2 linked regions of the Macaca mulatta genome follow. Each later gene encodes a partner of the first gene's protein in a complex. Links are inferred from orthologs where the notes say so. Each region holds a gene or a part of one and is shown in the gene's direction. Other genes may lie near its edges.

Evidence for each region. Proteins that work in one complex are often made in the same cells at the same time.
Region 2: the proteins of GDF5 (region 1) and BMPR1A are in contact, whole or in part, in a crystal structure (PDB 3QB4), measured with the Homo sapiens proteins. The link is inferred for Macaca mulatta from reciprocal best matches to the Homo sapiens genes GDF5 and BMPR1A. Residues at the interface, in NP_000548.2 of Homo sapiens: Arg399, Phe435, Pro436, Leu437, Ser439, His440, Glu442, Pro443, Asn445, Val448, Ile449, Leu452, Ser455, Met456, Pro458; in NP_001393490.1 of Homo sapiens: Gly65, His66, Cys67, Pro68, Ile77, Thr78, Phe83, Ile85, Glu87, Cys100, Met101, Lys102, Glu104, Gly105, Phe108, Gln109, Asp112, Ser113, Lys115, Ala116, Gln117, Arg120, Ile122.

The regions. Positions count from the first base shown.
Region 1 is NC_133415.1:88,244,621-88,248,966, reverse strand, and holds the start of GDF5 (growth/differentiation factor 5), read left to right. Parts: upstream 1-1,498; 5' UTR 1,499-1,882; coding exon 1,883-2,507; intron 2,508-4,346. UniProt on the Homo sapiens protein: Growth factor involved in bone and cartilage formation. During cartilage development regulates differentiation of chondrogenic tissue through two pathways.
Region 2 is NC_133414.1:62,961,093-62,964,741, reverse strand, and holds part of BMPR1A (bone morphogenetic protein receptor type-1A precursor), read left to right. Parts: intron 1-1,351; exon of another isoform or gene 1,352-1,516; intron 1,517-1,852; coding exon 1,853-2,015; intron 2,016-3,649. UniProt on the Homo sapiens protein: On ligand binding, forms a receptor complex consisting of two type II and two type I transmembrane serine/threonine kinases.

The DNA.
Region 1 (4,346 bases):
GGACCAGGAAAGACTTCCCGAAGGAGGTGAATTTTCAGCTAAACTTCTCAGGATGTGGAGTGTTTCCTCCAGTTGTGGGAGAGAGAGAGGAGGAGATTTCAGGTGAAGTGAACAGCTTTCCCCGCTGACCCTGGGGTAAGTTGCCCAGGGGCTCTATCGCACAGGTCCCCCAGAGGAAGGGAGCTTCCATACTTCAATGGGTTTTCATTTAGAATACTCGAGTTCAGCTGGAATTCAGAACTTCCAGACTTACCAGAAAAGCATCATGTGGGAAATTGTGCCGGGCGCAGTGGCTCACGCCTATAATCTCAGCGCTCTAGGAGACCGAGGCAGGTGGATCACGATGTCAGGAGATGGAGACCATCCTGGCTAACACGGTGAAACCCCGTCTGTGCTACAAACATAAAAAATCAGCCGGGCGTGGTAGCGGGGGCCTGTAGTCCCAGCTACTCGGGAGGCTGAGTCGGGAGAACGGCGTGAACCTGGGAGGCGGAGCTTGCAGGGAGCCGAGATCGCGCCACTGCACTCCAGCCTGGGCTACACAGCGAGACTCCGTAGAAAAAAAGAAAAAAGAAAAAAGAAAAGCATCATGTGGGAAATGGCTTTTCCAGCCTCCTGTAGGGGCCGCTGCTGCCCCAGACTCAGCCAGTCTCTTCTAAGAAAACTCGGAGGACGTCTTTGCCGGGGTGGAGGTGGGGTACACCCTGGACCTGCCGCCATCCAAGGAGTGGACTTTAGGGCGGCAGTGCCCCCAAGCCTGAAGAATATGCACTCAGTCAATGGCATTTGGTGGTAGGGAGGGGGTGTAGTGGGCACAGATATTTTTCAGTCTCTGGGTCACCACAAGTTTATTAAAATAAAAGAAAATGTGGGTAAATGCTGCCATCTGTGCTGTCCCTACTCCCAATACACACACACACACACACACACACACACACACACACACACACACAGAGGCACACACACACAGACACACATAAACACACACATACAACAAATCAGGTCCCAGGCTAGATGCAGGAGTTGAAACTGCTTTAAAAACACTCTAAGGACTTAACTACAAACCCACACTCCCCATGCTTCTGGGGCTTAAGATCTTTGAGCTCATTCTTCAGCATCTCTCCTTGGGAAGGTGGGGTGGGCTGCTCCATGAGGTGGAGGTGAAGACCCCTGAGTCTGCTCCATGGAGGGGGAGGCCCCCTAAGCCTAGAGTCCCGCTGCGGGGCTCTGTGCCAAGAGCCCCCGTGAGCCATGGCCTCGAAAGGGCAGCGGTGATTTTTTTCACATAAATATATCGCACTTAAATGAGTTTAGACAGCATGACATCAGAGAGTAATTAAATTGGTTTGGGTTGGAATTCCGTTTCCAATTCCTGAGTTCAGGTTTGTAAAAGATTTTTCTGAGCACCTGCAGGCCTGTGTGTGTGTGTGTGTGTGTGTGTGTGTGTGTGTGAAGTATTTTCACTGGAAAGGATTCAAAACTAGGGGGAAAAAAAAACTGGAGCACACAGGCAGCATTACGCCATTCTTCCTTCTTGGAAAAATCCCTCAGCCTTATACAAGCCTCCTTCAAGCCCTCAGTCAGTTGTGCAGGAGAAAGGGGGCGGTCGGCTTTCTCCTTTCAAGAACAAGTTATTTTCAGCTGCTGACTGGAGACGGTGCACGTCTGGATACGAGAGCATTTCCACTATGGGACTGGATACAAACACACACCCGGCAGACTTCAAGAGTCTCAGACTGAGGAGAAAGCCTTTCCTTCTGCTGCTACTGCTGCTGCCGCTGCTTTTGAAAGTCCACTCCTTTCATGGTTTTTCCTGCCAAACCAGAGGCACCTTCGCTGCTGCCGCTGTTCTCTTTGGTGTCATTCAGCGGCTGGCCAGAGGATGAGACTCCCCAAACTCCTCACTTTCTTGCTTTGGTACCTGGCTTGGCTGGACCTGGAATTCATCTGCACTGTGTTGGGTGCCCCTGACTGGGGCCAGAAAGCCCAGGGGACCAGGCCAGGATTGGCCAAAGCAGAGGCCAAGGAGAGGCCCCCCCTGGCCCGGAACGTCTTCAGGCCAGGGGGTCACAGCTATGGTGGGGGGGCCGCCAATGCCAGGGCAAAGGGAGGCACCGGGCACACAGGAGGCCTGACACAGCCCAAAAAGGATGAACCCAAAAAGCTGCCCCCCAGACCGGGTGGCCCTGAACCCAAGCCAGGACACCCTCCCCAAACAAGGCAGGCTACAGCCCGGACTGTGACCCCAAAAGGACAGCTTCCCGGGGGCAAGGTACCCCCAAAAGCAGGATCTGTCCCCAGCTCCTTCCTGCTGAAGAAGGCCAGGGAGCCCGGGTCCCCGCGAGAGCCCAAGGAGCCGTTCCGCCCGCCCCCCATCACACCCCACGAGTACATGCTCTCGCTGTACAGGACGCTGTCCGATGCTGACAGAAAGGGAGGCAACAGCAGCGTGAAGTTGGAGGCTGGCCTGGCCAACACCATCACCAGCTTTATTGACAAAGGGCAAGGTGAGGGGCGGGGTGGCAGGGGCACGGCTCAGAGGGAGGGGCATCTGCATGAATGGAGGGGCTTTCAAAGCCCTGGCACTGCCCTGGTGGGAGACACTGTGTGCATCTGGCCCGGGGTGGGTGTATGGGGACGCTCACACATATCTCACACATAGCAGATCCCGAGCTGCCCACACATCAGGGCTGGAGGGCACCTAGGAATCACCAGGTTCAACGCCTGCAAGGTGCAGGGCGGGCACTAAAGCCTAGAGAGGAGACAACACCTGCCAGTTGGTGGCAGAGTTGGAGACCGGATTCCAAGACTTGATTCCCCAGCTGTGCATCTGTCCCTGCTGGGCTGGCCGAACTTTCCACGCTCCAGGGGTTTGTAGGTGGTCTCAGATGGCAGAGAAAGAAATGAATCTTGAGGTCCCCGTGGTTCTGCAACTTTGCCCTCAGGCAAGGGGATAGAGGAGGCAAGAGAGGTGCTCACAGTAAATGGGGCATCTTGGAGTCATGGAATGATGTTCGAATATATGGGGAGGGAGCAGACCTAGGGTCTAACTCGCAGTGTGACCTTGGGAAAGCCCCTTCTCACTTGGGGTCTCTGTTTTCCCATCTGTACACCTATATGGGGTTGGACAGGGTGGTTTCTGAGAGCGCTTCCGACATGAAAACTTTAGGTCCTGTCCTGAACACGCCTCATTCTCCTTACATTAACTCGGGAGACTACCTGCTCCCCTCTGTCTCTCTCTGCTCCCCTCTGTCTCTCTCTGCTCCCCTCTGTCTCTCTCTGCTCCCCTCTGTCTCTCTCTGCTCCACTCTGTCTCTCTCTGCTCCCCTCTGTCTCTCTCTGCTCCCCTCTGTCTCTCTCTGCTCCCCTCTGTCTCTCTCTGCTCCCCTCTGTCTCTCTCTGCTCCCCTCTGTCTCTCTCTGCTCCCCTCTGTCTCTCTCTGCCCACCTAGTGTTACTGTTGCAGCTTTTCCTCTCCACTTGCTGTGTGATCTAAGCAAGTCCCTCCCGCTCTGAGGGCCTCAGTTTCTTCCTAGTGTGAAGAGGGAGGTGGGCTGTTGGTCGCTCAAGTTGCCTGCAGCTCATTTGCTCTGGTCCTAGGCTGGCAGGGTGGGGGAGGGGTCAGAGGGTGGGAGAGGTTTCTCATTAGAGCTGGCCTGGAGGGGGCTGCCGGGGCGGGGGGTGGGGGGGTGGGAGAGGCACAGAGGCAGCAGGTCTGGCTGAGGTGGGGGAGGTGGTCTGGCTGCCTGCCCAGCCAGGGAAAGCTGTGACCCCTTGGGGGCTCATAAAATAAGTCCTTGTGCCCCCCAGCACTAAGGGAGCTTCGAGAGGGGGAGATGGGGAGTTTAAAGGCCTAATTAGTCACCTTCTAGAGCAATATATGAAAGCTCCCCAATGGCAAATTGGTATTCAGGAAGGAGGGCATGCTGATTCAGAGATACTACTGAGCTTCTCACATAAGCATACATAGCCTTATGTTTATACAGACGTGCTGAATCACACATGTACACGCATGCTGACTCACACACGTACACACATGCTGAACCACACATGTACACACATGCCGAATCACACATGTACACGCATGCCGAATCACACACGTACGCATGTGCACACACACCTTCTTACATACACGTGTACACAAGATCGATTATGCACATACATACATATATGTGCTCTTCAAATAGTACACAAGCCCAATCATTTATACATATAATGCATCATTAACGTATACTCTTTCATATTCACACATGAACCCAACATTAACGTATACTCTTTCATATTCACACATGAACCCAATCACACACACACATACAACTGTAACACACGCACACACTCAGGAGAGTA
Region 2 (3,649 bases), on another chromosome or scaffold:
TGGATCACTTGAGGTCAGGAGTTTGAGACCAGCCTGGCCAACATGGTGAAACCCCGTCTCTACCAACAAAATACAAAAAAATTAGCCAGGCATGATGGGGGGGTGCCTGTAATCCCAGCTACTCGGGAGGCTGAGGCAGGAGAATCGCTTGAACCTGGGAGGCAGAGGTTGCAGTGAGCCAAGATTGCGCCACTGCACTCCAGCCTGGGTGACAGAGGAGACTCTATCTCAAAAAAAAAAAAAAAGTTTTCTCTCCTGTTGTTTGTTAATATATAGTCATTCAGTAGCAAATTCCTTTACTAAATATTCAGCATAAGAAAGTGAAGGTTATTGGCCAGGTATGGTAGCTCGCGCCTGTATTCCCAGCACTTTGGAAGGTTGAGGCGGGAGGATCACTTGAGCCCAGGAGTTTAAGACCAACCTGAGCAATATAGGGAGACCTTGTCCCTATAAAGAATTTAAAAATTAGCCAGGCCTGGTGGCATGTGCCCTTGGTCCCAGCTACTCTAGAGGCTGAGGTGGGAGGATCACTTGAGCCTGGGAGGTTGAGGCTGCAGTAAGCTATGATCACATCACTGTACTCCAGCCTGGGCAATAGAGTGAGACCATGTCTCCAAAAAAAAAAAAAGTGAAGATTATTAAAACTGAAGGCGTGGAATCACCAAAATACTATTTAGCAGTGCTTTTTCTGTTATCAGTGTGTGCATATGTGATATTTTTTGTCTTTTCAGTAGTTTATCTTATCAGTATGTTAAATGTAATGTCAAGTCTGTGTTGTGTCTTGAACCACTTATTTAACATTTATAATGAAATACATATACACTTGTCTGCTTGGTTCTACCTTTTATTCCCTTGAGAGTAACCCACAAAGAATGGCCTAGCTGAGTCAGAGAGAAGAAGTAATTACTAGAACAGTCTTTTTAGTACTGTTCTGTTTCCAACCTGAAAGATTTAGTACCAGATATGACAGTATGTGTCACTGCAGGCTACTAGGCTCTCATGTAAGAACATAGTTCCATTTCTGTGAGCTAACTGCTGCCCTTCTATAACCTTCACTTTCTGCCACCCTGGTCTGCATTCAAACCAATGACCTTGAGGTAAAAGTCTCCAGATAACATGATTGGTCCCTGTGCTCTCATGATTTCCTTACTTAAGCAATTAAAGGCCAAAGCAAGATGCTTAGTAACTCCTTTTCCACATAGAGGCGCAAATAAAGGAAAGCTAGTCACAAGTTTTGAACCAAAGAGTTAAAAGAAGAATCATAACTTGTCTCTATTTAATGGTTGGAAACTCTCACAGACGTCTCTGAAGTCTCTCCCCATTTTGTACCTTTCTTACAAGTGATGACTGTATACTTTAACCTGACAAGGGAGAGACCAGGGTCACGAAGGTGGTTTTCCCAGGGCGAGGCTTATTCATTGCACTCCAGATGTGCTGACCCCTGTGATTTCCCCAAACATGGGAAACTCAACTGCATAATTGTGATAGTGAGGGACTGTGTTCATGCTTTCCCCTGGTTAAATTAAAATTTTTTAAAGTTATTTTAAAAATATAAAAAACAAGATTTGACTGTATTCTGCCTTGTACCACTCTTGTTTGTCTTTCACTAGTGCAAAAATTGTGATATAGCTGTCTTCATATACCCCACAATACCTGGTGCAGTAATTCTGTGCATAGTAACTTATTAAGAAATGTCTGTTTGTTGTATGAATGAAATTTACATTTCTAAAGAAACATGTTAGCTACAATTATTGTGATAAGAAAGCTTAGCAACGTTTTCTCATTGAAAATTGTAATCAAACAATGAGCTTTTCAGAAATGATTTACTTACAAATTCCATATTTGAATGCAGGACAGAATCTAGACAGTATGCTCCATGGCACTGGGATGAAATCAGACTCCGACCAGAAAAAGTCAGAAAATGGAGTAACCTTAGCACCAGAGGATACCTTGCCTTTTTTAAAGTGCTATTGCTCAGGGCACTGCCCGGATGATGCTATTAATAACACATGCATGTAAGTATTTTATGCAGCCCTTCTTAAGAGTTAGGAGAATAGAGTTGCATTTAGTGCTATTTTAAGAATTATTAAGCTTGTCTAAGGTTTTTTTTTTTTCCTTCATATATGGTATCTTTCCAGAAAGCCAAAAAGCCTTGTGTTTTGTGTATTAGAACATTACTCCATTAAATGATTGATAGGTGAGTTACTATATTAGAATTATGTTATAATGCAGCTTTTAAAATAATTTCAAAGGGATTTAGTATTTTTTTTAACATCTGAGTTTTTTAATGATCTTTTAATCTTGAAGTCATTTTAGAAAACTTAGAGATTACCAAAAAAAAAAATCAAAAAACTCACCGACAACCTCCTACTTCTTCTGTAGACAGGGTCTTGCTATTTTGCCCAGGCTGGTCTCAAACTCCTGGGCTCAAGCAATCCTTCCACCTCAGCTTCCCAAAGTGCTGGGATTACTAGTGTGAACTGCCACACCTGGCCTCCTACTTTTTAATTGGTTGAAATATTCTGCGGATATATATTAATCATATTGTGTTAATTAATTTTGAACTTTTTTCTTACCTGTGAATTTACCAATCCAAATCTGATTTATAATTTTTCTACTGTATTTCATGTTAACTCCACAACATGTTTATATATGATTATGTAATTCTAGTCCATATTTGTTGGAAACACTTGACATATTGACTTAATAAGACCAAAAAAAAAAATTGCCTGAACAACTCAACCTGAATTAATTGTCTCCTTGTTATAGAGGCAGTAACGAATGTCATGTTTTGTACTTTTAATAATTGTATGCTCCTTGAATGGACCAGATAGAAAGCATGAAACTTTACACGTAAACTCTTGAACCTATGTGATGGTCATCGTGTCTTAGGTGTGCTGCTTGTCCCCTGGTGGTGGTGGACTCTGCATGGCTGACTGTGACTAGTTTTCCATTTACACCTTCCTGGGAGTTTGCCAGCAGGGAACTGCTCTCCACTGTGTCACCAAATAATCTTTTGCTAAATTTCTTGTCTGTAGTACCTGCCTGATATAATGGGCTGTCTGTTAGTAACCCAGAGTAACCCAGAGTAAAACTGAGTCATCCATTTTAGCAGAATTCTGCCCCACACGTAACATTTTCTCCTGACAGAAAACAAAGAATTCTGCAAAATTCTTCTAAGTAGAAGCAGCACAATTCCTGATATTAACAATAAATAGGAGCGCAGAAAAAGCTTTTAGAAATTTCTCCCAGACCTGTTGAAGTCTATATGAATATATTAAGGGGAAATTCCAGGATGCTAACACTAAGATAATAATTTCATTAAATATATGTATGTAAATTTATTGAAAATTTATTCAAAAGTCCTCTCCCTGTTTTCCCATCATATTCAGTAAAAGGTGCCTTTCAGTCCCCCTTTTTTGGGTCATTAAGCCTATCTGTATATTTCAGAGAAAAGTTTTTATCTATTAGCATATACAATATGGGAGTACTGAAAAAATGGGTAAAAAGAGACAAAGTTATTTTAAAGTATATTTTCAAAACATGACTTACCTTATAAAATTGTATAAATCAGCTTTCTGTGATTACATGACTGTGATTAGCAAAGAAAAGTCACATAACTCCTATGTAGAGGACTTGTTTAATCGAA